Coturnix japonica: one gene and its partners. The protein of the gene in region 4 purifies or fractionates together with the protein of the main gene of each other region. This does not show direct contact. Links are inferred from orthologs where the notes say so. Each region holds a gene or a part of one and is shown on either strand. Other genes may lie near its edges.

Region 1 (3,500 bases), on a different chromosome or scaffold from region 4:
TGCCAAGGAGTTCTCAAGAGAAAAACATTCCCAACAAGAGAGAAGAGAACAATAACATTGCCAACATTTCTTATAGAAATGTTAATGGTCTGGGAGTATTTGGAGGGATGAACGCAACAGCTAAACTAAAGAAACAACTCCAAGAGGTTTTGAGCTGAAGTCCCTGAAGATAACGTACAAAGCTGCAGGTGCTCTCAAGCACAAGAGAAGACAGTAGCTTGCCACTTGACAAACCTGCATTGTTTGTAGGAGCTATCCATAAGAGGGAAAAGTACAGCTCATTTCAAAACACATTAATGCGTTAGCTGAGTAATCCAAAACAGTTAACACCAAACAGGCAATATTTTCATTGTACTATCTCTGAAGAAGCAACTAACACTGGATAAACAGCAAAAATAAAATTACTGTCTATGTATTTAGACTCTCATACCTTGTGCAGCTCATCGTAAACCAGTTGATGGGCAAATCTTGGGCAGGGCTCTTCTTCCTGAAGACTTTTACCTGGATTTTCTTTGGCTGCTTGGTCATTTTTATAGACACAAGACCTAAAATATATGACAATAAGTACTGATTAATAGGATAGTATTTTGCATACAGTAGGGATGAGGGAAATCTAGATCACAAACTTTAGCAAAAGTACCATTTTAATCACTAATTTCTTTCCCACACTGACTTTTTTGTTTTGTTTTGTTTCCAACTGGATGTCTTACAGAGAGACCTTGACAAACTGGACAAGGGAATTGCCAAGTACATAAAGTTTGACAACAGCAAGCGCTAGATTCTGCAACTAGGATAGGGCAACTCTGGATATTCATAGACTGAGGGTGATAGGCTTGGAGAGTAGTCCCATAGAAAGGGAGCTGGGGATTCTAGTTGACAGTAGCTTGAATCTAGATCAGTAATGTGCCCTGGAAAACGTACCCTGGGGTCCATAAGGCCCAGCACTGCCAGCCAGGTGAGGTAAAGGATTGTCCTTCTCTGCTCTGTACTGTGTGGTCTCAGCTCAACCACAGGGTGAAGTTTGGATGTCACAATATAAAAAGGACATAGAACTCTTAAGAGAGCATCCAAAAGAGAGCTACAGAGATAAGAAAGGGCCCAGAGGACAAGAAGTACAAGGAACAGCTGAGGTCCAAAACCAAAGTTCTTCAGCCCAGAGCATAGAAGGCTGAGGGAAGGCCCCATAGCAACCTAGAGCTCCTTGCAAGAACTGGTGACAGTAACAAGGCCAGAGGGAATAGCATGGACCTGTCAGGGGAGGGTCCAGCGGGGAATTAGGAAAATGTTTTTTTACCTTGAACATTTCCTACAGGAAAAACTTCATATAAGCCCTTACTTCTTCCCCCATTTCCCACCTGTCTCCAGTGAAGGAAGAACAGTTTCCTCCCTTCAGATGGCTTTCTAAATACACTGGGAAAGAAAGCCTGAAAGGAACTGAGTCTTCAAGATTACCAGTGCATAGTTATAAATTATTACATAGTTACTTGATAAGTATGACTGTGTTAAAAACTGCTGTCTAAAGAAATCATTGTAGAAGTTGGAAGTTTTCCCCTTTAATTGACTTACCAGCTGTTTCTCACAATGTCATAAATCCAGAAAGAATTCCTTACATTCTCTTCCCGCTTCTCCTTATCTTTACTGAGCCCGGACAAGACATGGATTTCATTCAGTTCTGGATCAATGGTAGCCCTTTGAGTGAATCCTGTCATTGGAACTGACAAAAGAAAGAAAATAAGTTGAAGGCTAAAAATAAAGGAGGATACAGGAAAGGATCCAAGCATCAGATAAATGCATTATCCTCTCTATGAACTTCTAAGAGGGGAATAGTGGGATATTCTAATATCCACGGTACAGGTACAAGATTTTATTCAACTACCTTCTCAGTATTCTGGATGAAGAGTATCTTCAGTTCAACCTTGCTATTTATTATCCCTATCTTCTGTTTTTTAAGTACTTTCACCTCTTCAACTTTCATATAAAACCAGGTGAACCCAGTATTTTCTATTTTCCACAGCATTCTTGTTTTTTACCACCACTTAAAACTGAAGCATCTCTAAACAGGAGCTATGTAGAAGTTGCTAAGTAAAACACTCGCTCCTCACATGTGCCCTCCAAAGTCACATTAGAGAGATGAGAGGAAGAAACACTGCCCAAAGGTTGATTTTCTTCTCCACTAAGAACAAGTCCTGTACAAATTCTCTTATTCCCTTATTTGTGATTCCTGGAAGCATATTAAACACCATCCTGAGAGCTGCTGTTTCCTAGAGAAAAGCATAGACAAGGTGTGAAAAACTGCTGCCCTCAAAAATGAGAAGAAAGCTGCATTGCAACAGAGCTAGACTATATATTTGCAAGATAAAAATGGAATGATTTTGTCATTATCTCATCATGTAAAAGGAAGCATTGATTCCCCAATATTTAATTGAGCTTGAAAGCTCAAAAAAAAAGAAAAAAAATCAAGATAAACTTATGATCACACAGCTCACAGTCTTGCATAGTTTTCTTTAGGACAAATATTACAAGGAAGTTTTCTTTATTTCCTGTATGGCTGTGGTATAATTGCTAAGCTACTCTTCTGTTCCACCTTCAGATTTAGAAGTACATTTAAATACTGAGGATTCCAACAGTTTTCATCATAATTCCCTGAAAGAAAAAAAAAGGTCAGCAAATTTGCTTGGCAGTCCTTTTTGTTTGTTGTATAATTCCCATTTCCTGTTTCCCTAGGCAACCATCCTTCCAAAATGTATTTGCGAAAAACACGTGATCTTTGTTTACAGATCCTGTTTGTCTCATTTCTCTTTCTGGGTCAGTTTACAAAGGCTGGTAAAGGTTCCTGGATTTCAATCAAGATTTTGGCATGAAAAATTCTCAGAACTCTTGTATTTTGCAAATTCTTCCCTGCAATTAACTACACAGCCTAGAAAACAAGACCTGTGCTAATAACGCCATTTAATTTTGCTTTTCAAGAACACACAAAGCAGTGTTTTGTAAACCTATTCTCTAATAGACCTGCATCTCATTCTTTGCTGTTTTCATGTGGTACACTAGGAAAGTAATAAATGTCAATTTGAAAATCCTAGGCAGAAAAACGTTACCAAAATGTTTAGCAACACTGAAAAGCAAACATCTCTTAAAAATGATTACCTTTCATTTAAATGTAAGTAGGAACTGAAATATATACCGGTAAGTCATTTTTAGAGCCCTGTCAACCAAATTCTGGCTTATTGCTTTTATGGAAAAGCACGAGGCAGAGCCTTTCAAGCCTTCATCACCATAAACCTGCCTATTTTGACCTCTGTTTTGCCATGAAGTTTCAAAGGAAAGATCCTCCAGTTTGTAAGCAAATGGGTAGAGAGCAAAGGAGAAAAGAAAAGCAGGGAACAACGCTCGATCTAGAACAACTTTATGATTTGCGTTATTGGTAACCCACGAGCAAGTTTCTAGACCAAGTCTAAGCAGGACTGTGAAAGTCACCCAATGAGGAAACTGACAGCAAAAAA
Region 2 (3,500 bases), on a different chromosome or scaffold from region 4:
ATTAAGTCAGATCTTCCAGGTCTACTTGAACAGTTGAAAAGCAAAGGAAGCTTCCTCAGATATCCCTGTATACCAGTATGTAGATTAAAACCAGCTTAGCAGAAGGCTTCAGAAATTCACCAAAATAACTCTACTTCTGTATTCTAAGGACTCTACCAATAAACCAGAGAGGAATCCCACGTTAATCAACAAAAGCTGGCACATCAAAAGTGAAGTCTTAATTTTTTATCAGAAAAGCAGTTACAATTTCACCTACTACTCCAGCCTAGAAGGAGTAGGAGTGAAGAGAGATACAGACTTACTTTAAGGGATACAAGCAGGGAACAGATTTAGAGAAGAAAAGCCAGTAGATTTTTGAAGTCCTTACACTGTCATGAAACTGATACCTTCAGTGCCCTAGGAAAGAGGGCTGCCCACAGGCTAATTAGGAGCCCACTCTTGAAGCACAAGACACTGGTTTGTTCCCCTCATTCTTGTAGGGTTTTTTTTGCTTTTCATTGCACATTTTTTCTTCTGTGCTTTCAAAAGTCCATTTGAGCCAAAAATGAGAGAATCTCCAGCCAAATCCCTCCAAATCAAAGCAGATTAGTAAAGAATACCAACATATCTGAGAGCGTTTATCCTAGAACAAGAAGAAACCAAAGCCAGAATAGATTTCTAACTGCAATTTGCCTTCATAACTAACCGATGCTCTTGTATCTTAAGTTAAAAAAAATAACCTGTTCTCATGAACTCGGTTTTTTAACCCTAATTCTCTGTTTTCTCTGAACTGCCAAAGAAACACAAATCGATCACAACAGACTTCTTCAAGACAGTTGATTTACCTTGCCTCCCCTTCAGTACCTGAAGAAAACCTGATTTGCTAGAGGGGAATGCAGGAGGCCCCCAGTCCAGCCTCCCACCACACAGTGGGATTACCTTCCTAAAACAATCCTCCCCAAACGTACACTTATTTATAATTGCTTTCATGAATGGGTTAAGTTGCCACAACCTGGCAACGTGACAAAAGAGACCATCCTCCTACTCCCCCCATCCTTATTCCTCAGCCAGAAACTCAAGCCTTTGCTCTGACAAGTGTCAGTGAAATTATTTTGGTGAATAGAATGAGAGAACTCATTGCTGTAAGCCAAAGATAAGCCACTAAAATCTGGACTAGCTGTAAATGGAAAGAATTAAAGGAGACCAAATCAAATAATCAATGACCAAACACTCAAATCATGTTAGATTTTAGTAGTTCATAGTGACATATCTCTTCAAACACCTGAAGTCATTTATTTACTCCATCTCATCAATATAAGAGAAGAAAAAGGGTCTTAAGCAGAGTTAGCTCCCAGCTTATCGAGTGTGAAACCCTAGTGTTAATGTTACAGAATTCAGTCACATTTTGTCACAAGGTACAAAGTCATTAGGTACATGAACATACAGGAATCTGCCCATATCAAAAGGGAAAGTTGAGAGATGAACTTTAAAATAAATTAGTAACTAATTCTGTTGCATGAACATATGAAGTTTAAAAAACAATCTATGCTTAATTAAACCATTTGAGAGAGTGTCTTGCTCTCTTCTTATTTTAGGAGAGGGCTTACTGTTCTCAATACACCACAGCCACAGTCTCCAAAGCAAACTCTCAGGACAGTGGTGTAACAAGCACATTATCTGGTAGTACACAATTACATTTCGGTATTATACTTTGTAAGGACAAACTACTGACTATAACCTATTTAACATAAAACTTATAATCAAATTCAAGCTACTTGAGAAAACTGCAGTTCAACTGAAGAAAACAGAGGTGGTTTTTTTCTTGTTTATGCTCAAGAAAAAATAAGATGACTAGGTGATAACAATATTTCAAGTATCTAGGTAATACAAATAACATCTTTCATTATTCCTACCTAAAGTTTTAGTTCCCTCGCATGCAGCGAGGATAAAACCAAAAGTTAAGAAGTACTAGATTGCACACTATTGCATTCCAATTCCCGATGAAAATTACCATTTGGCTGATGTGAGCTGCATTTCAATAGGCTTGTCCCTTTGTAACATCTTCACAAAGATTTGTGGTAACAGTTCTCCGTCAACCGACACTGTAAGTAATGGAAGAGAACTCAAAGTGATACTAATTCAATCAGTCAATAAAGTAAGTGTCAAACAAGCAGCGGTTGCATTATACTTACCATTTACCAGAGTCATTGATACCTGTGGGTTTTCAAAGGCTAGAACGGAGAAGCATTTCAAGGCTTGCATTCGAACCTGTTTAAAAAAAAACAATAAATAAAGCATAGATGTAAATGCTAACTTAAAAGTAAAACAGGACTGTATTGATGTACAAAGCAGCAGAAATAATTCTGCATCACCAGTAAGAAATTTAGATGGATAAAAAGCAGATAAAACATCTAATTCACAGTTTAACTCCTGTGATCTCCCTGCTTGGAATTACCATTCCAGACTTGACATTGTAGACTGTTTTCAAAGACACAAGCAAGGACTGGCATGTGGGAAGCAGACATTCAGAAACACTAGTTTCATTTGTGGTTTCACACAAACATGTAAACAGCAAAAAAAAAAACCCAGATATATCATAAATCCAGTACTTCCTCTTTCGAGGATTCATGAGTACCCTGAGGGAATTAGAAACACATGTCACTGTATCAGTAGTTTTTAAAGGTGAATTTAATAATATTTCTGAAGAGATTATCCAGTCAAATTGATTTTAAACTAATCTTAAAACAATAATATACTGTAAGTTTCATTGCTATTGCATAACATCAGTTATCACTCGTGCACTAATGATTCACAGCTCTCTATGCTGGATCACTGAATTGTTTTGGTTGGTTGGAAGAGACCTCTGGATATCTTCTGGTTCAACTTCATCTATCAACTAGGGCAGCTGGCTTCTGAATATTTCCAAGGAAGGAGACCCTACAACCTCCTTGGGTAGCCTCAAATCTGAAACTAAGTTTTGGTTCATCAAGCCTTCATAACTGCCTACTAAAGATGACTTCCTTCTGACCTCTTTTTTGAGGCAAGGAAGATCATCACCATCATCCCAGATAATGAATCTAATTTAGTTCACAGTCTTTTGACTTCAATTGCTACAGTTCTATATATGTTGTAGTAGTCGTTAATGAGGAATCTATATATGTAAATTTTGCTGATGTCTTTCTATGCTTTTGTTACAACTTCCTTAGTGTGACCATAACACTAAGAAGCAAGATTTCAACCTAAAAATCCCTGTCGCTGAAGAAAGCATTTGTGACTGTTGCATTTTAGGTTTAGGTTCATCTTCCCCAAGAATTCTGAAGGCAGACAATAACAGCAAAGACTACCAAGCATTCATACTGTATCTCACTACAGTCAAGGTAAGACAATCAATAGCAGTGAAGTCAGGAGTAACAAATAGCAGAAATGGATACATGGCTTCAAAACAAAAGCCTTATTTGGCAACACTTCTGTTTACTGAACAGATGATTTCATGAATACAAGGTATGCACCAACGCAACAGG
Region 3 (3,990 bases), on a different chromosome or scaffold from region 4:
AGTTCTGTTGTCAGAAAACTACAGACACAGCAGGGAAAGCTTGAGAAACTGCATCACTGATGTAAGAAAAGAGAAGAACCAATTGTGACCACTGGCTTCTTTGGCCAGACCCATCTTCTCCCCCTTCCTTGGACACACTTCCTTGGTCCAGAACAACAGATCTTCATCTGTGTTCAGGCATGATTCATATTTTAACAAAAACATCTACCACTCTTTCACAAATGCTGGGCCTTTTGTGGTGCCTCTGAAGTTACCTAATATCCTAGAGGAAATTCTGTGATCCTATAAGATACTTTGAATGCCTTCTTTTGAGACCGCTACTTGCGGCTGATTTGTAGGGACAACATTTCAAAACACTAAGCACATTTCTGCATGCTATCTGCTCTCATGTTCCTCACTGAACCTCCTCATTTTCCTCCCTTTGACTGCATTCGTAGGGCTGTAAGATCCAGAGGAAAAAGGCCACAAATGTTTCAGTTATTTCCCCACGCAGTGCCTCAGGTAGGAGTGTCTGATACCTCACACTGCTGAGCCCAGGTGCCAGGCTGGTAACATGCACCGGGGCTGCCTTCACATCCACCTCCATTCAGCTCCCAGGGAGAAAAGAGGGGCCACTTGAGAGGCCATTCACTCCCACTTGCAGCTAGGAGAAAGAAAAACCCATTCATGACACCTCACCTCTTCACAGACCCCTGGACTAATTTAAGAACTCTCCAGCCTCCATCACTTACTATTACTTAAGAGCAAGAGAAATGGCATTTTATTCCCATAACCTACCAACTGTGCTTCACATCTTCCAGTAGAGCATCCACGGCATTTCCTACACTGTCTTTACTTCAGAGGCATATGGAGCCTGCTTTAATTTCTCCAAAGCAACACATTTCTGGTTTAATACTAAGGCGAAGAGGAGGAAACCAGAAATAGCACAAATAAAACCTGAAAATACACTTCTCCAATTACAGCGGCTGACCAGAAAGTCTCTAAATTCTAGTTCATGAGCAAAAAGAGCAGGGCAAAGCAGAACACACAGGAGGACTTGATGGCCATAAAGCTATGATCACCCTATGAAAACAAGTAAAAAGCAACTCAAACCGACTGCAGCCACTAAGCGGCAGAAAATACAAAACGCTTCTAAAAATACGAGGGCATGAAAAACTGAACAAAAGCCAGGAAATGTGAAGTTGGGTATTAAATAACACGTCCTTAAAGCACTCGGGGCCTCCCAGAAACCTGCTCTGTAGCTGGTCGCCAGCCTCCCACACTAGCTTCATACGGCACAGCACGCTTAGCATTTTGAACAGAGTATTCTGTATGTCATAATAAAGCCTCTCTATTAAAAAAAAAACAAGTCCCCGAGAGTACATTTAATCCTTTCACGGCAGCCAAATCCTGCCATGTGTTTGTGTTGCCGTTTTCCCCCTCCGATTAAACAGTAACATGTTTATCGGGATTTCACTCGAATTTCACCACACAGCACAACCCAGAAGGGTGACTGCGGGGTTGTTTCCTCCCCACCCGTTCGCTGGGCACTGACAAAGGAGCCGGCTCCTCGCCGCCAGCATTAGTGGTGGTGAAGCGCAGCCACTCTCCCCTCGGAGCAGGCCCGGAGCACCAGATGTGGCCGTGTTTTTTCAGGTCAGAGCGTACGCCGGCCGTTTCCAGGTTTTATGACATTTCATAACAACCAACACTCGCCGCTTTCCTACGCTCGCTCGGATCCGTACGCGCACACGGCTCGATTTTTATCTTCCTTCGGAGAACCAGCAAGTTGAACCAGGAGGCAAGAAGTTACCAAACCACCTTAGCAGACACAAGTCCCTCGGCCACCCCTTCCCTCGCAAAGCTTCATCCCCTTTTCACCCCTCTTCAAAGCACACCCCTGCTCCCTCCCCTCCCCCCCGTTTCCGCGTTCCCCGCAGGAAGGAGCCCCGCACCGCCGCCCCGGGGACGGCCGAGGCCGGGGCAGGGATCGCGGAGCCGGGCGGGGGGGCGCGGAGGAGGAGAAGGGCGCGGAGCGTTATTTCCTGTTATTGTTGCCCCGGCCCTCACCTTTGTAGTGGACGCGCAGGTTGCCCTGCGAGAGGCCGATGTAACTGAATTTGTCCTTGGGGCTCCAGGAGCGCGGCAGCGGCGTCTCGTCCTGGTTGACGGCCGGGTACAGGCGGTGGAGCCGCCGGTTCAGCTCCTTCTCCTGCTCGTTCAGGGCCGGGTCGCCGTGCGGGAACGCCGCCGGGGCGCCGCCGCCGCTCCCCGCCGCCAAGCCCGGCGCCCCGCCACCCCCGCCGCCCCCCGCGGGCCCGGTGCTGCCGGCGGCTGGAGGCGGCGGCGCGGCGGTGGCGGGCGGCGGCGGAGGGTGGAGCAGGAGCGCGGCGGCAGGCGCGGGGCCGGGGCTGGACGCAGCCGAGGGGACCCCCGGCGCCGGCGGCGGAGCGGCGGCCGCCAAGGGGAGCGGCGGCGGCGGCGGCTGTTGCTGCTGTTGTTGCTGCCCGGACATCCCGGCTCCGGCCTCCTCCTCCTCCTTCTCCTCCTCCTCTCCGCGGCGGCGACCGTCAACGGATCGGCCCGAGGCGGAGCGGCGGGCAGGCCCCGCGCTGCGGAGAGAGGCGGCCCTACCGGCGGGTCACCCCTAGCCGGAGCGCCTAGTAGCGGGGGGGGGCGGGGGCGATGACGACGGCGGGGCTGCCCGATGGGAGCCGGGGGGCGCGGCGGAGCAGAACCAGGCCGGAACGGGCCGATGGAGCGAGCGCTGCACGGAGAGCGGCGCCGGGCGGAAGCGGAGCGGGCCGGGAGCGCGCCGGGCGCCGCGGCGGGGCGGGGCGGGCTCCCCCTTCTCTCCTCCCCGTCCCCTCCCGTCTCGCGTGCGCGCCCGCTCCGTCCAGCCCCGGCGTCCCCCGTCAGCTGCCGCCCGGCCCCGCCTCTCCGCTGCACGCAACAGCGATGGGCGCTGAGGTGCGACGGCGGTGGGCGTCGCTATGTGGTGGAGAGCGGGGCTTGTGGGCCGTGAAGCTGCGGGGAGTCTCGGTGGTGGGGGAAGTTAGGTAGTGTGTCTTCTTACCCACGCATACAGCGTTGTTGTTTCATAAGCGGTTGCTTGCGGTGATTGTTTCACGTGAAGGAGAACCTCCTACAAATTTGGGACACGTTTAGGAGAGGAAGGACTTCTCTAGAGCCTGAAACATTGGGAGCTTCAGACAGTGTTTCCAGCTGCCAGAAGGTTGGAGAACAAGCACGGGAGCAGGAAATAGGGAGGTTAATTGCTCTACACCCGTGCCAGCGAGGTAATGCAGGTGTGATGCGCACCTACGCTGATAGGAAGCTGAGTGGGTTCCTCAGAGCCAGCAAGGTATCTGTCAGGTGAGGCAGTGCCATGATGTAGTGCAATGGCATTCTGGCTTGTATCAGATACAGGGCAGCCAGCAGGCACAGGAAGGTGATCATCCCTCTGTACTATGCACTGGTGAAGCCACACATCAAGCACTGTGCTCAGTTTTGTGCCCCTCAGTACATGAAAGACATTGGACCCTGGAGTGTGTCTGGAGAAAGACAATGAAGCTGTGATGGTCTGGAGGACAAGTCTTACACGGATTCCCTGCCTCTCACAGGCTGTCCACCAGCATGTCTAAGCTCTCTTTCAAGCATCCTGTAAACCTTAAACCTCGGGATTTTAGAGTTTATCTATCATTTGGCACTCATCAGCTATCTGGGGATATATTTGCTCTGTTCATAGCTTTTCTGAATTTCAGTGAGCATTTTTGCTATCGCTATCAGCCGAGGCAAGTGTCATGGCTGACACTTCCTTTCCCTTTTTTCCCACTGCCCACTGTGAGATGGCTGCCATCGAGCTACAGTGTGCTGTACAACGAGGTGTGGTGGAGTCGCCATCCCTGCTGGTGTTCAAGAGGCATCTGGATGAGGAGCTATGAGATATGCTTTAGTAGCTTCTGGTAGCAGTGGTGATAAGAGGATGGTCGGACTATGTGACCATGTAGG
Region 4 (4,009 bases):
GTTTCATTCCAGCTCTGAGCCCAGTGCAGCAGTGATCTGGATACATACAGAACCTTCCTCTTACTCTGCATTGCAGTGCAAGGGGATTCATAAAGGTTCCGAATTTGGTACAGAAGCTCAGAAATGAGTGCAGCACTTCAAAATGCTTTAGAAGCATTTAGCAGAAGTATCTGATTTTAAAAACACTGTGGATGTTTCCAAACTGCAGTAGAGAAAATGAGACACATTGGCTGCTGATCGGATCTGAAATAAGAATAGAAAGAGATTATAGTAAGAAATAACTCACTCTTTGGGCAAAGGAAACAACTCAGGCAGTAGTAGGAGATAAATAAAGAACCAAAGTGCAGGCAGTGCCTCACAAACACACCCAGCACCACATCGCGCTGCCTCGCACATAAGCGCTCTATAATCAGACCACGAGCATCACCTGTTGGCGGAGCTTCAAAACTGCAAGCAGTAACCCAGCAGGTAACCCAGCAATTCACCAAGACTAGGAAGCCTACGTGGAAAATAATATCCTCACCTGTTTATTTTTGTTAGTTTTACCACTCGGTAACCTGGTTGGTTGGAACTCAGTGTGAATACAATCGAAGCTTTGCAGAAAGTCACACGTACCAAACACACTCCAGGCTCAAAACGTGTCTGCCTTGACTTCTCTTTTCTCTCTCAGTGTCTCTATCCAGGACGTCCATCGTCAGGGATCCAACAGAGTCCAACTCAGTCTCTCAAGTCAGGTGCCACATGGATTCAAAAGGTGGAGATGTCTCACAGACGGTCTTCCTTGTAGTGCATTGTGTCAGTGAGTTCGACCAGTGTGTCAGTATTCAACTTGGGGTTTTTTTACTCCACAATACAGAAATAGAACTTTACACGTAGCTTCGCATGCCTTATGGCCGCTCGCCCTACTATAGGACAGTGCAATAAATACAAATATCTGCACACTAGAAAAAGATCCAACTGCCATGATCTACACCTTGTTCATGAGTACAAACCTAGTCAACAATATGACAAATTCAGCAGAAAAAGTGGCAATGGCAGTAATAGTCTACTACAAAAACAAGGCTAGAAGCAAAGTGTTGTCAAGCTACAGAAAGTTTGCTACCTCCCAGTATGTGACGTAGGGCCCAATCCTGCCAAGTGACCAGAAGACTGCATCAGAACATGCTTTTCCCCCATTTAACAATGAATACTTATACAATTTATTTGGTTTTGATAACTGTTTATAAATAGCACACTATCATGACTATTCAACTATACAGCAACATGACATTTATAGCCTAATCCTGAATACAAAGTCCAAAGAACATGACTATGAAGGACAGAGAGCAAACGTTGTCAACTAAAAGCAGTTCCACTTCAGAAGTTTGTTTTATTGAGTATTTTTTTACACAAACGTTTGAAACCTAAGGAACAGGATTTCCTCTTCCCTCTGTTCCAGCAGTAATCTACCCACACATCACCCTTATAAATTAGTGATGGATTTTAACAGGTAAGCCCCTCAGGGCTATATATTTATATATTTTATATATATGCACATTTACTTTGAATTCTATGTAAAAGTTGAAAAAAAAAAAAAACAAACAAGTGTTGGAAAGAAAACCTCAGAATATATCACAGCTCTTTCAGCAAAAAAAATACAAATTAGTTTTATAACCACTATTCAATTTATCAAACTCTTCTTTTTTTTTTTCTGTTTAATTATGTACACATTACAGGAAATAAAACTTCTTCCACAAACATTCTCTAAGGTGACGGATACTGATAGATGATAGCAGGAGGAATATTAAACAAATGGGGGGGGGGATCCGTTTCTGCTTTTAAAAAGTAAAAAGTCACCATATAATTGAGTACAAAAACCTGCATTGAATGACAACTGCTGGTGTAGTAACTTGATCAGGTATGGAGACCAAGAGTATAGTAAAGCCCTATGGTAATAATATTTCTGTAGCGTTTTCCACTCGGTATGTGTATACTAAATGTTGGCAAAGTTTCTGTAGCATTAGCTTATACAAACATAGGAGTCCTCAGTCTGCTGCATAAAATGGAACAGGTGTGTTTTAATTCTCCTGAAATGCACCTGAATTGCAGAGTGTCACTTACAAACCGCATCATAACGAAGCTTCTCTTCAGAAAAATATCTGTTTGGCATCTCCAGGACTCTGTTCCATCGGACAATAGGGGCATTTTAATCTGGGGACAAAAACAACACGTTAGGATGGCAGTAATGCAGGCAGAAGCCTGCTGAAACACAGCTAAGCACAAAGCTTCTTCCTCCACCAGACTGGCAAGGACAGCCCTTCCTCCTTTCCCCCAGCAGCACACAACAACACTTGAAGGCTCTGCTAAAAGTTACCTTTCACAAAGAGAAACCTTATCCCATTTTTTTCCCCCCTTTAATCATGTTTTCTCACCTTTTACCCACTCACCTCTGAATTATTAAATACCAGGAAATTATTCTTCATGGCTAATCTATTATTTAAGCTTTGGGGTTAGTTAGTTTGTTGCATTGTAGCCGTTTTAAGCAGGCTGGTGGCTTTCAGTGTGATTTCATTAACATCCAGTCAGTTTTGCTCTCCTGTGCCCAAAATGCTGTCATTTCTCAATCCACACAGATCAGCACCTGCAGGCTATGGCTAAATAGGTCAGCCTGGCCTCCCTGCTGAGGTGTCCACCAGCACAACTCCATCTGCTCACTGTATTTCTTCTAGCACTGATGCATCTTTCCCCTATCTCTAAGTTTGCATCTTTCATTCCCCAAAGTCAATTTTGTCAGAGCTGTTCTGGCAGTAAAGCTGATGAATAAAAGCATCAGGAATGAGTGACCAGGGACAGGAATAACATAGCAGTAAGCTTACTGGCTTAAAATGGATAAAGTTACCCAAAAAGTATACCCTCCCCCTTTTTGTTTTGTTTTGTGTTTTTAAACAGAGCAAAGAATGCAAACATTACTCAGTGTTTTCAATCCCAGGATCACTTATTTTCAAGCTGGATGTCACAAAACAACCAAGAGCTCTAAAAAAGCCAACAGCCTTCATAGAAGCTTCATACATTCAACATGTTACCTTCTTCCTGATCGTGCTACCAAGGCACGATCATTCAACTACCCACTCAATTACTAAGCCAAAACCCCAGAGGTTTACTTCCCCTGCCTACTTTAAAGGGGGTTTCCACCATTACTAGCCTTGCTCCCAGTGAAAAACCAGGTGTGCAGAAATATCTCTTTGAATTTTGTGACAACATGATGGTATTTACAGCTTGGAACATTACTCCTTTGTCTACATTCCTTCACGTAAACCCTTTCAACAACATCAGAAGGTTTCTTATGCTATCCTCCAGCACATCAGCTCAGCCATCTGACTTCAAAGTCATACTCAAAGACTTACAAGCTTCCACCAGTTATGGAATTGTGGAGCCAGCTTTCCTCAAATGCCATATTCTAGTTTTAAGAGTCATCATTCTCTATACTTTGCTTGGAATGCAAAAAAAATGTAACTTACTTGCTGCCATTAAACATTTTATTCAAAGCATCTCTTGATATAATATGACCACAGACTAATTTCATAGGTGGATTATTATCTGTTGTTTGCTGACGGAGAATGGGACAGGCAAATATTGAATGGTACCAGCACTTTTTACCAAGGTCCACTTCAATCTGTGAAAGAAATGAAGATAATTTTATCTTGGGAAGCAACATTTCCAGACAACCATTCCTTTATGTCACAAAATTCCTTAAGTAAGAACTGTAACTCGGCACTGAAGGCAGCAAAGTCCATCAAGTTGATGCTTCACAACTTGAGGACTGAAAACTGCAGGGCTCGAATGTGCACACTTGAGGGTTCCACTCTCACTGTTATAAAAGAAACAGCTGAGAGAAAACTTGACACACACACTGAAGCTACATATGAATCTCTTCTAGGTTAAGACAGTGAGGCTAACTCAGACCATGCCCAGTTTGCAATAAACAGGATTTATTTCCAAATGAGGAGCAGCTCATTAGAGAGCTGCATGA
Region 5 (4,146 bases), on a different chromosome or scaffold from region 4:
AATCCCTGGTGCTCCTTGCTCCCCCTTCTGCCCCGCTGTTGTGTAGTTCTGTGCAGTCTGTAGGTACAGGGAAATACAAGCTGGGTTGCAAACTGGTTTCTGTCACATCATGAAGTTCATTTCAGAAGCTGCTCTTCTAATCAGTTCCTATCTGAGTACAGCAGACATAGAAACTGAGGCACGCAGGAACTGAACGACTTGCCCAAGGCTACAGGAAATCTGTGGGAGATCTGGGAATGGACCCCAGATGTCCTGAGTTTAGTCTTAACCACCAGACCATCCTTCCTGTCTTTTTGGTAGTCCCCTCTGCTTCAGGAATTCCATTGATGGATCACACTCATGAGTTAATCACTCATCTGTTGCCCAATCCAGTAATTTACTTACATTAAAGAGTCATTTGGAAGGAAAAAAACACAACAACCAAACACCTAAAACGAGCTGTGGTTATTGCTGTCCTTTATTCCCAAAGAGTAAAGGAAAAGGAGTGCAAAAAAAACCCAGCATCCAGAACTAAGAGGCTTTTCCATTACTAAGCAGACTTCCAGCAAACGACAATTTTGCTCTTAACAAAATTGGATTATCTATACTTGATGTTTGAGTCTGTCTGCGTGTTTATATTTCAGAGAGTTTAAAACATCAAAAAAAAAAAGCATGAAGCAGAATTAAATCCATCTAAGGCAGGAATCTGGTGCTGTAGTGAACTCTTCTTTTGCTGGCAGCCTGTTTGGATGCCACATCCCTAATGGGCTCAGGGGGATCTGCTGTTGTGTGCAAACAGCAGCATGGAGTTCTCTGGACTTGGGGTGTGAGGACACAGCTGGTGCATGAGTGGTGCCTCCAAGTGCTGCTCTGTGCTGAGCTGTGAGGCCTTTTTCCCTTTGACTGCTCGAACTTCAGAGCACAGAAACACAAACAGCGTCTGAACTCGGTGCGATCCCTGCCCGCATCGATCCTGGCTGAACCTCAGCCTGTTTGGTTTGGTGAGGGTTTGTTTGCTCTTGGAGCTGTTTGGATTTGCTTCACTTTTTTATTGTACTGTGGTTTATCTTCGTTTATACCATAGTGGTGAACTTCCAGAAGAGACCAAATGTCTCTGCATCACAAGGCACTATGAGCAGCGCATCAAGTCTCTCTTGCATCATTAATATCTTAGTTGTGTGTATGCAGAGCTTTCCAGCGTCTTCTTTTTGCGTTAGACTCGCTGATAAAGCTCTGAGCTGTGGGGCTCGTGTTTTGTATCTGTATTTTCCGAACTCTCCAGCCGTTCCGAAGGGCAGACAGGCGGGTGGGGAGCTGCCACCAGGGGGTGCCGTTCCCTGCACGGAGCCGCAGGTTCGGCCCGTCCACGTTCCTCCGGGCGCCGCCATTTGATGCAGCGGCTGCATCACCCGGAGCTGCATCACCCGCAGCTCCGCTTGCTCGGGGTCCCGGCTGTCGGTCCCCGTTGGGCTGCAGTTATTCCGTGTGTGCTCCACACCAGGTGCTCGCAGGTTTAGCAGCGGTTCGGTTCAGGTGTTGGGTACACGAGGTGCTGTTTGTTCCCTTATTTCTTTCACTGTCGTCCAGAAATAAAACGCCGAGCCCCCACCAGCCCTGCCGCCCCTCCTTCGCGACGCTCCGCTCTATGAACCCAGCCTCTCTCCCTCCCCCCGGGGCTGAACGAGCTGCGCCTGCCCGAGCAGGAGGGGGGAGGCGGCCGATGTTCCTGGAAGAGCCCGGCCTGGGGAGTTGGTCACATTCTTGGCCGGGATTCAATGACTGAGGCAGACACCAACAAACAGAGTCGGGGGGGAGGAGGAGGAGGAGTGAGGGAGGCTGAGCCAGCCCGCATTAGCTCAGCTCTCAGGCACTCTCAGTCTCTGCTGGAAAGAGGAGCTGGGAGGATGTTAGCGCGGCTCCCCACGGCACGTTGAGAGCGAGAGGAAGAAAAGAAAGGAAGAAAGAAAAGGGGAGCGAGGCGTCGGGGAGCCGGATCGAGCGAACGGAGCGCTCGGGGCAGGCAGCCCGCAGCGCCGCTTCGGAAGTGTCGGAGATCGGGGCCTTTAATTCTATTCCGCCTCGCTCCCTTCCCCGCACCGAGCCGCCTTCCTCCTCCTGCTTTTTACTTTCCTTCCTCCTGGTGGATATGGACACAAGCGGGATCGCTGCAGAGAAGCAGCAGCCAACAGCTCTTATTTAACCCGAGGTGCCCGGAGCGCGGCTCGGAGCGGCGTTCCGGGGCTGGCAGTGCTCGGATGAAGACCTGGCTTCGGTTTGACTCTGCGCTCCGGCCGGGCCGGGCACGGTGAGAGATTGTGACGGAGCGAGAGAACAGAAAGGAGAAAGAAACGCCAACGAAAAGGATTTATTTCCTCGCCGACTGTGGATTGTTAAACCGGAGTGGGAAGGGGGAAAAAAAACCAACAAGGGTGGGTTGTTGTTTTGTTTAAAGAAAAGAAAAAAATCCCTTAAGTGGATTTGTACCAGCGTGGAAGATAATTGGGGATTTTTTTGTTGTTTGTTTTTGGGAATAGAAACTAAAAAATGGAGACTGTAAGTAGAAGCAGCTTCCAGCCTCATCCAGGACTGCAGAAGACCTTGGAACAGTTTCATCTGAGCTCTATGAGCTCCCTGGGTGGCCCTGCTGCTTTCTCAGCGCGATGGGCACAGGAGATGTACAAGAAAGACAATGGCAAAGACCCCGCGGAACCTGTACTGCATCTGCCCCCCATCCAGCCCCCCCCGGTGATGCCTGGTCCCTTCTTCATGCCCTCGGACAGATCCACTGAGAGGTGCGAGACCATCCTGGAAGGGGAAACCATCTCCTGCTTCGTGGTGGGTGGGGAAAAGCGCCTTTGCTTGCCCCAGATCCTGAACTCGGTGCTCAGGGACTTCTCCCTGCAGCAGATCAACTCGGTGTGCGACGAGCTCCACATTTACTGCTCCAGGTGCACCGCTGACCAGCTGGAGATCCTCAAAGTCATGGGCATCTTGCCCTTCTCTGCCCCCTCGTGCGGGCTGATCACTAAAACTGACGCTGAGAGGCTTTGCAACGCCTTGCTTTATGGTGGCACCTATCCTCCCCACTGCAAGAAGGAATTCTCTAGCACGATTGAGCTGGAGCTTACAGAGAAGAGCTTCAAGGTGTACCATGAGTGCTTTGGGAAGTGTAAGGGACTCCTGGTACCAGAGCTTTACAGTAACCCCAGCGCAGCCTGCATCCAGTGCTTGGACTGCAGGCTCATGTACCCGCCTCACAAATTTGTGGTCCACTCTCACAAATCCCTGGAAAACAGGACTTGCCATTGGGGCTTTGACTCTGCAAACTGGAGGTCCTACATCCTCCTCAGCCAGGATTACACTGGGAAAGAGGAGAAAGCTCGGCTGGGCCAGCTCTTAGATGAAATGAAAGAAAAATTTGACTATAACAACAAATACAAGAGGAAAGCCCCCAGGGTAAGTGATGCCTTAAATTCTTATTTTAAGAAGGAGCCAGGGTGAAGAAAGAGAGAAAAGGGATTTTCGATGACGTCCATAGATGTACTCAATTTGTTACCAACCGTTTTCCTTTTAGAGTCGTTTAGCAATCTAATCGCGTTCTTAATTCTCACCACGTGTGCGTTCATGTAGACGAGCAGCGTTCGACATGGCTCCTTTTTTTTCCCCTTTTTCCTCTGGTTTTGTGCTGAGCTCGGGAGCTGGAGTTTGATTCTGCTGTATGTGTTTGTGTATCGTATTGTACACAGAACCTGATCTTTGAAACCCATCACGCTGCCCCACTTGAGCAGGAAGTGATTTGGGGCGCCGGGAGCTTCGCTTGGAGGTCAAGATGGGAAAGAAAGGAGGGGAAAATAACTCTGATGGCCCCAGACACGAATGCAGACGATTTTCTCCTCAACTGCGTGCCCCCAGGGATGGAGGCAGGGGCTGAGCTGGAATAAAACGTGGCCGCTGAGAATGTAATGCAGGTTACTGGTGTTCATTGGAGTGCAGAACGGGAGCGAGCTCTGTGCTTTTAGGGGATCCCAGCGGAGTCTGGCTCTCCCCAGCAAGACAGGCTTTTGTATATCGGATTATGTGTACGTAAATGGATCTGAAGGGCCAGATGCAGCAGCTCGTTGCGTTGTGCCCTGCTGTCCTGAGGCCAGACAGCGTTTTTCAGGTGCC
Region 6 (3,500 bases), on a different chromosome or scaffold from region 4:
CATAAGGGAAAGGAGCACTTTCAGCACGGAAAGCAGAAGGTAATGCACAGTGCAGCAGCCTGCCTTTAATATTTGCTCTTTGCACTGGAAGACGTAGGAAACAAAATAAAGCACCTACCGGTACTGTGAACGTGTGAGTTGCTGGATCCGTGTCTGGGACTTAAGCTGGGGGACCCAGGGTAACTGTCCTGGGATCTGGGGCTGCGTGCACTGAAACAACGGACTTCACTGTCTGTCCCGTTCACCATCTCCACAAACTGCCGACACCTGATTTCATGGGAAGGAAGAAGAAAAGGGCGCGTGACAGCCAGCATGTTCTGCACTGCTGCTTCCTCACTTACTGCCTGCAGAAGCCTTAGGAATTGGACAGGAGTTATTTCTTGGCTTCGAAAGAGCCATTTCAGACTCCTGGTATATTTGTATTGTGAGTACTCTGAGTTCATGTAGTGCCATGCGGGTGCTAATGAATGCTGAGAACCACACTGAGACAGACAAGCAGTATAACAGCAGTCACCCTTCTTTTCAGCCCCACACCTGGGGGAGCACCAGGATCATCAACACAATGTTCCACCTTGGCTAGCATCAGTGAAGGCAGAGAGAGGGAGAAAAAGCATTTCGGTGTCAATGGGGCCATAGCATCAGAGATGAAACTCTTCACAGATTCAGATGCAGGCCTTAGAAATACTCCTCCAGTTAAACAAATGCTCCCAAGTCCGCTCTGCTCAGGACCCAAGAGAATCACTGTGATGCTAAGCCTGCTGTGAGGACACACAGTGAGATAAAGAGAGTTTTCTTAGTCCCAAAACACAAATTTATTTCCTTTGCATTGTTCCTTTATGACATGCTTTCATCTCCACCATCTCCACAGGTAGTACAAAATTAGACCATGGATGGGTTTTTCAGGGCACATACTAAAACTGCCAATGAGAGTTCACCCTTCTACTCTGTAACTTAGAAACACTGGTGACCAATGGGACCTCAGGCAGAATTCAGACCAAGGTGTGCAGCCTCCCTGGATGACTGAACAGCCCCTTATCTCCTTCAGCTTCACATTACGGCATCAGGGTGCAGAAAGCTATTCATACTTACTTTAGCATGAAGAGCAGGTTGGGGTTATGTTCTAGGAGGCCGGGGTACAGCTGCTGGGTGGCTTCTATAGCCTCTCCGACTCGGCCTGCTAATACTAGCTTCTGTATTCCTGAAAGTAAAAGGAAACCTGTTGACACACAGGGCAGGCCAACACTCAGAGAGCAGTCTTAGGTACGTCACACAGCTCCCCACTACCTCTTCACACAAGGGCTTGGGAAGAACTGGGGAGCACGCTGTATTTATTACAGATTAGGATGAAGAAAAGTCTGTAAATGTGACAGAATCTGTTCGGAGCTCAGAAACACCTGGAGCATCTGAAAGATGAAGTGGGTGCACTGGGGTGGAGTGCTCTGCACCTTTACTCCTTTAGCCAGAGGAGCTTAGGCAGCAGTGGGAAAGTCCGAGGACACGACTGCTTGATGGGAGCAAGGAGGGTGCTGGGGAAGTTAGGATTTGAGAGGGGAAACCCCTGGGTCTCCTTCATTCCCTTCTGTTCCTTCCATTTCCTTGCTCACAACTTTCCACGTCCCACTGCTTTTGCCAGCTCTCCTCCTTGCCTTGTCTGGCAGCACTCACAGATGTCTCTGCCTTTTCTACCTTCTTCTCTTTTTGTTTCCCCACCTGTGCTCTCTTCACACCTTTATTTAAGCCCCAGCTGCAGAGCTCTGTATTCCTTCCTTCCAGGCTCCCTTGTCACCTGTGCTCACAAAGATCAGACCAGGTTGTCTCACATACTGGGAGACCCAAACCAGCAAGAGCACCAGGTGGGTGAGGGCTGCAAGGCCTGGGAAGCAGACAAACCCATCAGCACTAACCATACAAAGGCACTAATGGGCAGCAGCTCTGTTACTCTGAGCAATGAGCAAAGTATCCAAACTAACTGCATGCTGGCTCAGCACATGTGATATACGGAGGTGATGCACCTGATGTGTGATGGCCATGTGAGAAACGGTTCACAAAGGAAAGGGAAACACACAGGGCAGGGCACAGCCTGCATTCAGTGAGAGAATGCAGAAAACACACCAATGTTCTGTGAGCCTGTGGTCTGAGTCTGTGAATAGAATGGCTGAAAAAGCAAAAGTGCAGCAGGAGAAAGCTGCAAAGCCTTATTCTACAGGAGCCAAGAGGGCTTACATGCTAAGAGATGGACCACTGCAGAGGAAAGAGAAGTATTCAAGGCAGACAACAGAACATTAATTCTTAGAACTGTAGAATCATAGAATCATTTGAGCTGGAAGGGACCTCTGAAGGTTATCTAGTCCAACATGCTCATTGCAGGGACACCAACAGCTCCATCTGGGACTAGAATAGTGGCATTGTAAGGGATCCACGGTGATCACTGAGTCTAACTCAAATCCAAAGGAACCTCGGAAGCACAGTGACTTCGGTTCAGTGCAAGTGATGAGATCTATTCTCCACCAGTCTGGCACTACCTCTGTTCCAGATAGCAGTGCTGCAATCAAATAACACAGCCAGAATGCAACATGTGACCACCCCATAGACTTACTTTGTCTGTTCTTTATTGAGGTCTGTTCCTCCTGGATTGCAGTGTCTGTGACCCTGGCGAAGGCAGTTGCTGTTGAACAGTACCCATGATGAACCAAATAGGAAGAAACCATACTAGAAAACAAGAGAACACAACTGGATGAAGAGACATTGGTAATGTAAAGTAATCCCAATGCAGGAAAAAAAAAAAAAATCAATAGAAGTTGTAATTTCAGTGAACAAACTCAGCTCATTACCAGGGCTCTAACAAAAAAACAAAACTTCCAGTGTATACACAGTATTTATGTAATTACTGCTGCCTAAAGGTCATCTGTAAGAGCTCACTACTATGTAAGTGCCATTGATGTCTCCTGGCCACATAAGACACAGCTCCCTCTCTCTATATACACAGAAAATCCCAACCTCAGAGAAGCTCCTGGTTTTCAGGTAGACCTCAAGGAGCCCCAACATTCTGATCCTTTCTTTCTTTCAATTCTGGCCCTTAATTTCTGTTATCACTTATTTGTCCAGCTATTATTGGTAATTGGTAGTTGAATCCACTTGTGAACTCTAGGCATTAAGGAAGGAAGATGTTAAACAGGACTGGAGCCAGTATTGATCTTTAGACTCCAATCAGATTCAGCACCAGTGATCACCACCCTCTGGGCTCGGCCAGTTTTCAAACCACAGAAAACAACAGAAGTAAAACAACACATATTAGATTTGAGCAACTTTTGCCATAAGAAAGCAGAAATGGGCATGTAAGAGAACACAAGAAGCTGAACAGCAGAACAATGACTTACTTCTGCAGCATGGCTTGCCACTCGCCTAGCCTGTCTCCTATGGGAAACCGCTTAATGGTGCTTTGAATCTTCGCTCGCCACTCCCTCATGTAGTCCTCGATGTCAAACACAAACGGCTGCTGC
Region 7 (2,858 bases), on a different chromosome or scaffold from region 4:
CCAGATTAAAGATCAAATCGCCACTCGACAGGAGGGAGAATTAAGCTCCAGCAGCCATGCTCCTTGGGCTGGTGGGTTAACATTCAGGCTCTCTCTCGTGAGTCCGAGGGGCAGGAGAGAAGCGTGCATTCCCGTGCTCCGACAGGGACACAGTCCTCCTGGCAGGCCATGCTCTCCTGCCCCGTTTGCTTCTGTGCAGTATCAGTTCTGGACAGCTGTCATCGGAATTCATAGATAGGAGCGCTGTGCTCAGGAACATGAGTTAAATTCAATGACTGATACCTGGGAGAGAGGAGAAAGATGGATGAGAAGATTACACAGAGCAACAGACCCTCCTGCCTTGAACCAAGAGCTCCTGTTCAACAGGCTGCAGCCAGGTGGGTTCTCCCTTTCCTTTTGGGACAGTCTCAGTGGCATTCAAACCTCTTGGCAGTGGTGCCAAACCCCTGGGAGGTCTCAGCTTCGTTCCTCATTTCCATTCCCATGTCTTGGAGCTACCTGCAGCCAGACTGCCATCGAGCAGGGCTGACTGCGGGCTTTGGACACCTTTTGAAGTTTGACAACTTTCATGTTCAAACAGTGTTTGCTTCAGCTGAAAATTAGACTCAAATCTTTCAAAGCTCAGCTTGAGGGGATTCATCTGAAAGCCTCCCAGGCACCTTCCTTCCCTCTGAGAGTTTCCAGACACCCTACAGATTCACTTGCTGTGCGTGACAAATATCTTTATTATTTATCCAAAGCCAGGGAAAAGAGCTCTCACAGCTACTTGTCAGAGAGCTCTAACAAAAAAAAACACCACTACCACAACCAATTAACTTTGACTGTACCCTGCATCTTGCAGCAACACCTCAAGCACCTTGGACTACAAAGCACTGGCCTAACAAGACACCTGCCTAAAGGGAGCAGCAGGAGAGCTGTTATAGGTGAGAAGGCACCTAAGCTCCCTCTGATATCTTCTGAAGGGCCACAAGATTTCTCCTGCTGGAGAAGCTCAGAGCCTGAACTACTTCAGACTTTTACAGGCAACCCCAACAAAGGTTTGCAGGCTGGAGCCCAGGTTTCTAGATGGATGCTAATAGTGAACGACAGCTGGGGTCTGCCTCCCAAAGCACCTCACACACATCAGATCATTGCTTCACTGCTCCACAGCATGTTTCCATACAGTGTTTCCCTGCATCATGCTGCCAGCTCAATTACCATCAGCCATGCAAAAGACAGCACTTTACACCACACAGATGGGCCAAGCACATAAACCCTCCCTCCCCATCAGGGTCCAGCTACCAAAACAAATCTCCTTCCCACCAAAATAAGTGTGCTGCCTGGGTGCTCCCAAGCCTGCAGATGGGCAGAAGAGGAGTCCCTGCTTTGTCTAAGGAGGCCCACTAAAAGGAAGAAAGCTTCCTTACCATTCTGAACTCCTATGGTAGTAATAGCCTTCTATAGATGCTGCTGACTTCTGGAAGCAGATGTAATAGAAACCAGCAAAGGAAGCACCGCTGATGTCTTTGATAGTGTGGTCTGGCACTAGGAACTGTTCCTGCACACAAGACATAATCTGCATTTAGAAATGTTGGTCAAATGCTCCCATCCCGCACCCAAATGGGCCCTCCCAAGATAAGTACCAGCACCCACTAACACAAAAGCACTCCTGGTTGAGCATTCCCTGCATTCCTAGCAGCCCAGACCAGGATTTGTGTATTTTTTCACCTCCTGGCCCTGTAAGCATCTTACAGTGAAGCAAGAACTGAGAGCAGAAGTACTTTCAAAGAGCACACAAAATCCATTTCAGTCCAACACCTGCCCTTTCCAAAACAGGCCAATCACAAAATCAGCAGAGCTGACTGAGGATCCCCTCCCTTCACAGCTGCACACAGTTCATGTCAAGAGAGAGGATTCAATCCAGCTGTAGAGCCAAGAGGGGCAGACTGGTCATCAAACTGCATCAAACCCAGGCCCAGCACAGGAGCTGGAGATACAGAATCTCTGAACCTCTGGAGAAGCACCAAGTACAATTTTCCTGTTGTGTTTTCAGGCATGACTGCAGCCTTTAAAGATGCAACGAGATGACTAGACAGGAGTCACACTGGAATTTGCAAGTATGGCAGGTTAATGAGGTCAGACAGGACAAGATCTTTCATTAGGCCAACACCAGTAGTTGAAAACGCTTTCAAGTCCCTGTCAGTTCATCAGAGAAGGCGACACACAGTTTACCTTCCATCTCATGAAGACATAGTCCCCGTTTTTCAGATCCTCATAATCAAAGTCATCAGAGTTAAATGTTTTTGCGTACTGGTAGAAAGCTTGGAATTTCCCCTAGAACAAAAGGAAAACAAGTAAACACAAAAACCAGGAGGCTTAATTCAGGAAAAGTGCTTACAAGTGCCAGGTGCTATTCTGGAGGAAAAAGACAGGACCTCCTCATTGAAGGGACTGCTCTTCTCTCAGAGCAGCACTGAGTGCGTGCCCCAGGACTAGCACAGGGCAACAGGGACTGCAGACATCCACAACCACATCCAGCCTGGTTGCAGAAGGTCCTGAACTTCTTTGGGTATATATACATATAAAAATAATATTTGTTGACAAAAATCTAACAAACATCAGTCTGGCAAGCAGCAGCAAAGGTCAAGGCAGCAAAGTAATCAGCCAGCTGCTGTGGCCCTGAGCCAGGGCACGCCCTGTCCTGGTGAGAAGGCTGAGGTTGCTGGTGCCACAAGACACAGGTGCCTGTGTCAGAGGGGCACCTTGCCCCTTCTCCATTCTGTTTTGTGCTAAGCCTTCAAAACAAGCAGTGTTCTCATAGGAGTGAAAGAGATGGGAATTGCTCCTGCCTCCCTTCCAAGCCCAGGGCCAACAAGTGG

Evidence for each region.
Region 1: the proteins of RMND5A (region 4) and MKLN1 purify together in Homo sapiens (affinity purification with mass spectrometry; 4 studies listed by BioGRID and IntAct, counting the BioPlex papers as one, with this or other methods). This does not show direct contact. The link is inferred for Coturnix japonica from reciprocal best matches to the Homo sapiens genes RMND5A and MKLN1.
Region 2: the proteins of RMND5A (region 4) and ARMC8 purify together in Homo sapiens (affinity purification with mass spectrometry; 5 studies listed by BioGRID and IntAct, counting the BioPlex papers as one, with this or other methods). This does not show direct contact. The link is inferred for Coturnix japonica from reciprocal best matches to the Homo sapiens genes RMND5A and ARMC8.
Region 3: the proteins of RMND5A (region 4) and RANBP9 purify together in Homo sapiens (affinity purification with mass spectrometry; 9 studies listed by BioGRID and IntAct, counting the BioPlex papers as one, with this or other methods). This does not show direct contact. The link is inferred for Coturnix japonica from reciprocal best matches to the Homo sapiens genes RMND5A and RANBP9.
Region 5: the proteins of RMND5A (region 4) and SKI purify together in Homo sapiens (affinity purification with mass spectrometry; 3 studies listed by BioGRID and IntAct, counting the BioPlex papers as one, with this or other methods). This does not show direct contact. The link is inferred for Coturnix japonica from reciprocal best matches to the Homo sapiens genes RMND5A and SKI.
Region 6: the proteins of RMND5A (region 4) and RANBP10 purify together in Homo sapiens (affinity purification with mass spectrometry; 4 studies listed by BioGRID and IntAct, counting the BioPlex papers as one, with this or other methods). This does not show direct contact. The link is inferred for Coturnix japonica from reciprocal best matches to the Homo sapiens genes RMND5A and RANBP10.
Region 7: the proteins of RMND5A (region 4) and GID4 purify together in Homo sapiens (affinity purification with mass spectrometry; 4 studies listed by BioGRID and IntAct, counting the BioPlex papers as one, with this or other methods). This does not show direct contact. The link is inferred for Coturnix japonica from reciprocal best matches to the Homo sapiens genes RMND5A and GID4.

Annotation. Positions count from the first base shown.
Region 1 is NC_029516.1:2,803,398-2,806,897, forward strand, and holds part of MKLN1 (muskelin), read right to left. Parts: intron 1,715-3,500; coding exon 1,567-1,714; intron 546-1,566; coding exon 431-545; intron 1-430. UniProt on the Homo sapiens protein: Component of the CTLH E3 ubiquitin-protein ligase complex that selectively accepts ubiquitin from UBE2H and mediates ubiquitination and subsequent proteasomal degradation of the transcription factor HBP1.
Region 2 is NC_029524.1:2,440,076-2,443,575, reverse strand, and holds part of ARMC8 (armadillo repeat-containing protein 8), read right to left. Parts: intron 2,248-3,500; coding exon 2,172-2,247; intron 2,082-2,171; coding exon 1,991-2,081; intron 1-1,990. UniProt on the Homo sapiens protein: Component of the CTLH E3 ubiquitin-protein ligase complex that selectively accepts ubiquitin from UBE2H and mediates ubiquitination and subsequent proteasomal degradation of the transcription factor HBP1.
Region 3 is NC_029517.1:68,373,667-68,377,656, reverse strand, and holds the start of RANBP9 (ran-binding protein 9), read right to left. Parts: upstream 2,801-3,990; 5' UTR 2,495-2,800; coding exon 2,050-2,494; intron 1-2,049. UniProt on the Homo sapiens protein: May act as scaffolding protein, and as adapter protein to couple membrane receptors to intracellular signaling pathways. Acts as a mediator of cell spreading and actin cytoskeleton rearrangement.
Region 4 is NC_029519.1:77,646,903-77,650,911, reverse strand, and holds the end of RMND5A (E3 ubiquitin-protein transferase RMND5A), read right to left. Parts: intron 3,653-4,009; coding exon 3,498-3,652; intron 2,191-3,497; coding exon 2,127-2,190; 3' UTR 501-2,126; downstream 1-500.
Region 5 is NC_029536.1:1,500,030-1,504,175, reverse strand, and holds the start of SKI (ski oncogene), read left to right. Parts: upstream 1-1,346; 5' UTR 1,347-2,408; exon of another isoform or gene 2,409-2,513; 5' UTR 2,514-2,523; coding exon 2,524-3,435; intron 3,436-4,146. UniProt on the Homo sapiens protein: May play a role in terminal differentiation of skeletal muscle cells but not in the determination of cells to the myogenic lineage. Functions as a repressor of TGF-beta signaling.
Region 6 is NC_029526.1:1,706,481-1,709,980, reverse strand, and holds part of RANBP10 (ran-binding protein 10), read right to left. Parts: coding exon 3,378-3,500; intron 2,710-3,377; coding exon 2,597-2,709; intron 1,199-2,596; coding exon 1,090-1,198; intron 268-1,089; coding exon 119-267; intron 1-118. UniProt on the Homo sapiens protein: May act as an adapter protein to couple membrane receptors to intracellular signaling pathways.
Region 7 is NC_029529.1:5,018,309-5,021,166, reverse strand, and holds part of GID4 (glucose-induced degradation protein 4 homolog), read right to left. Parts: intron 2,314-2,858; coding exon 2,212-2,313; intron 1,538-2,211; coding exon 1,407-1,537; intron 283-1,406; coding exon 219-282; 3' UTR 1-218.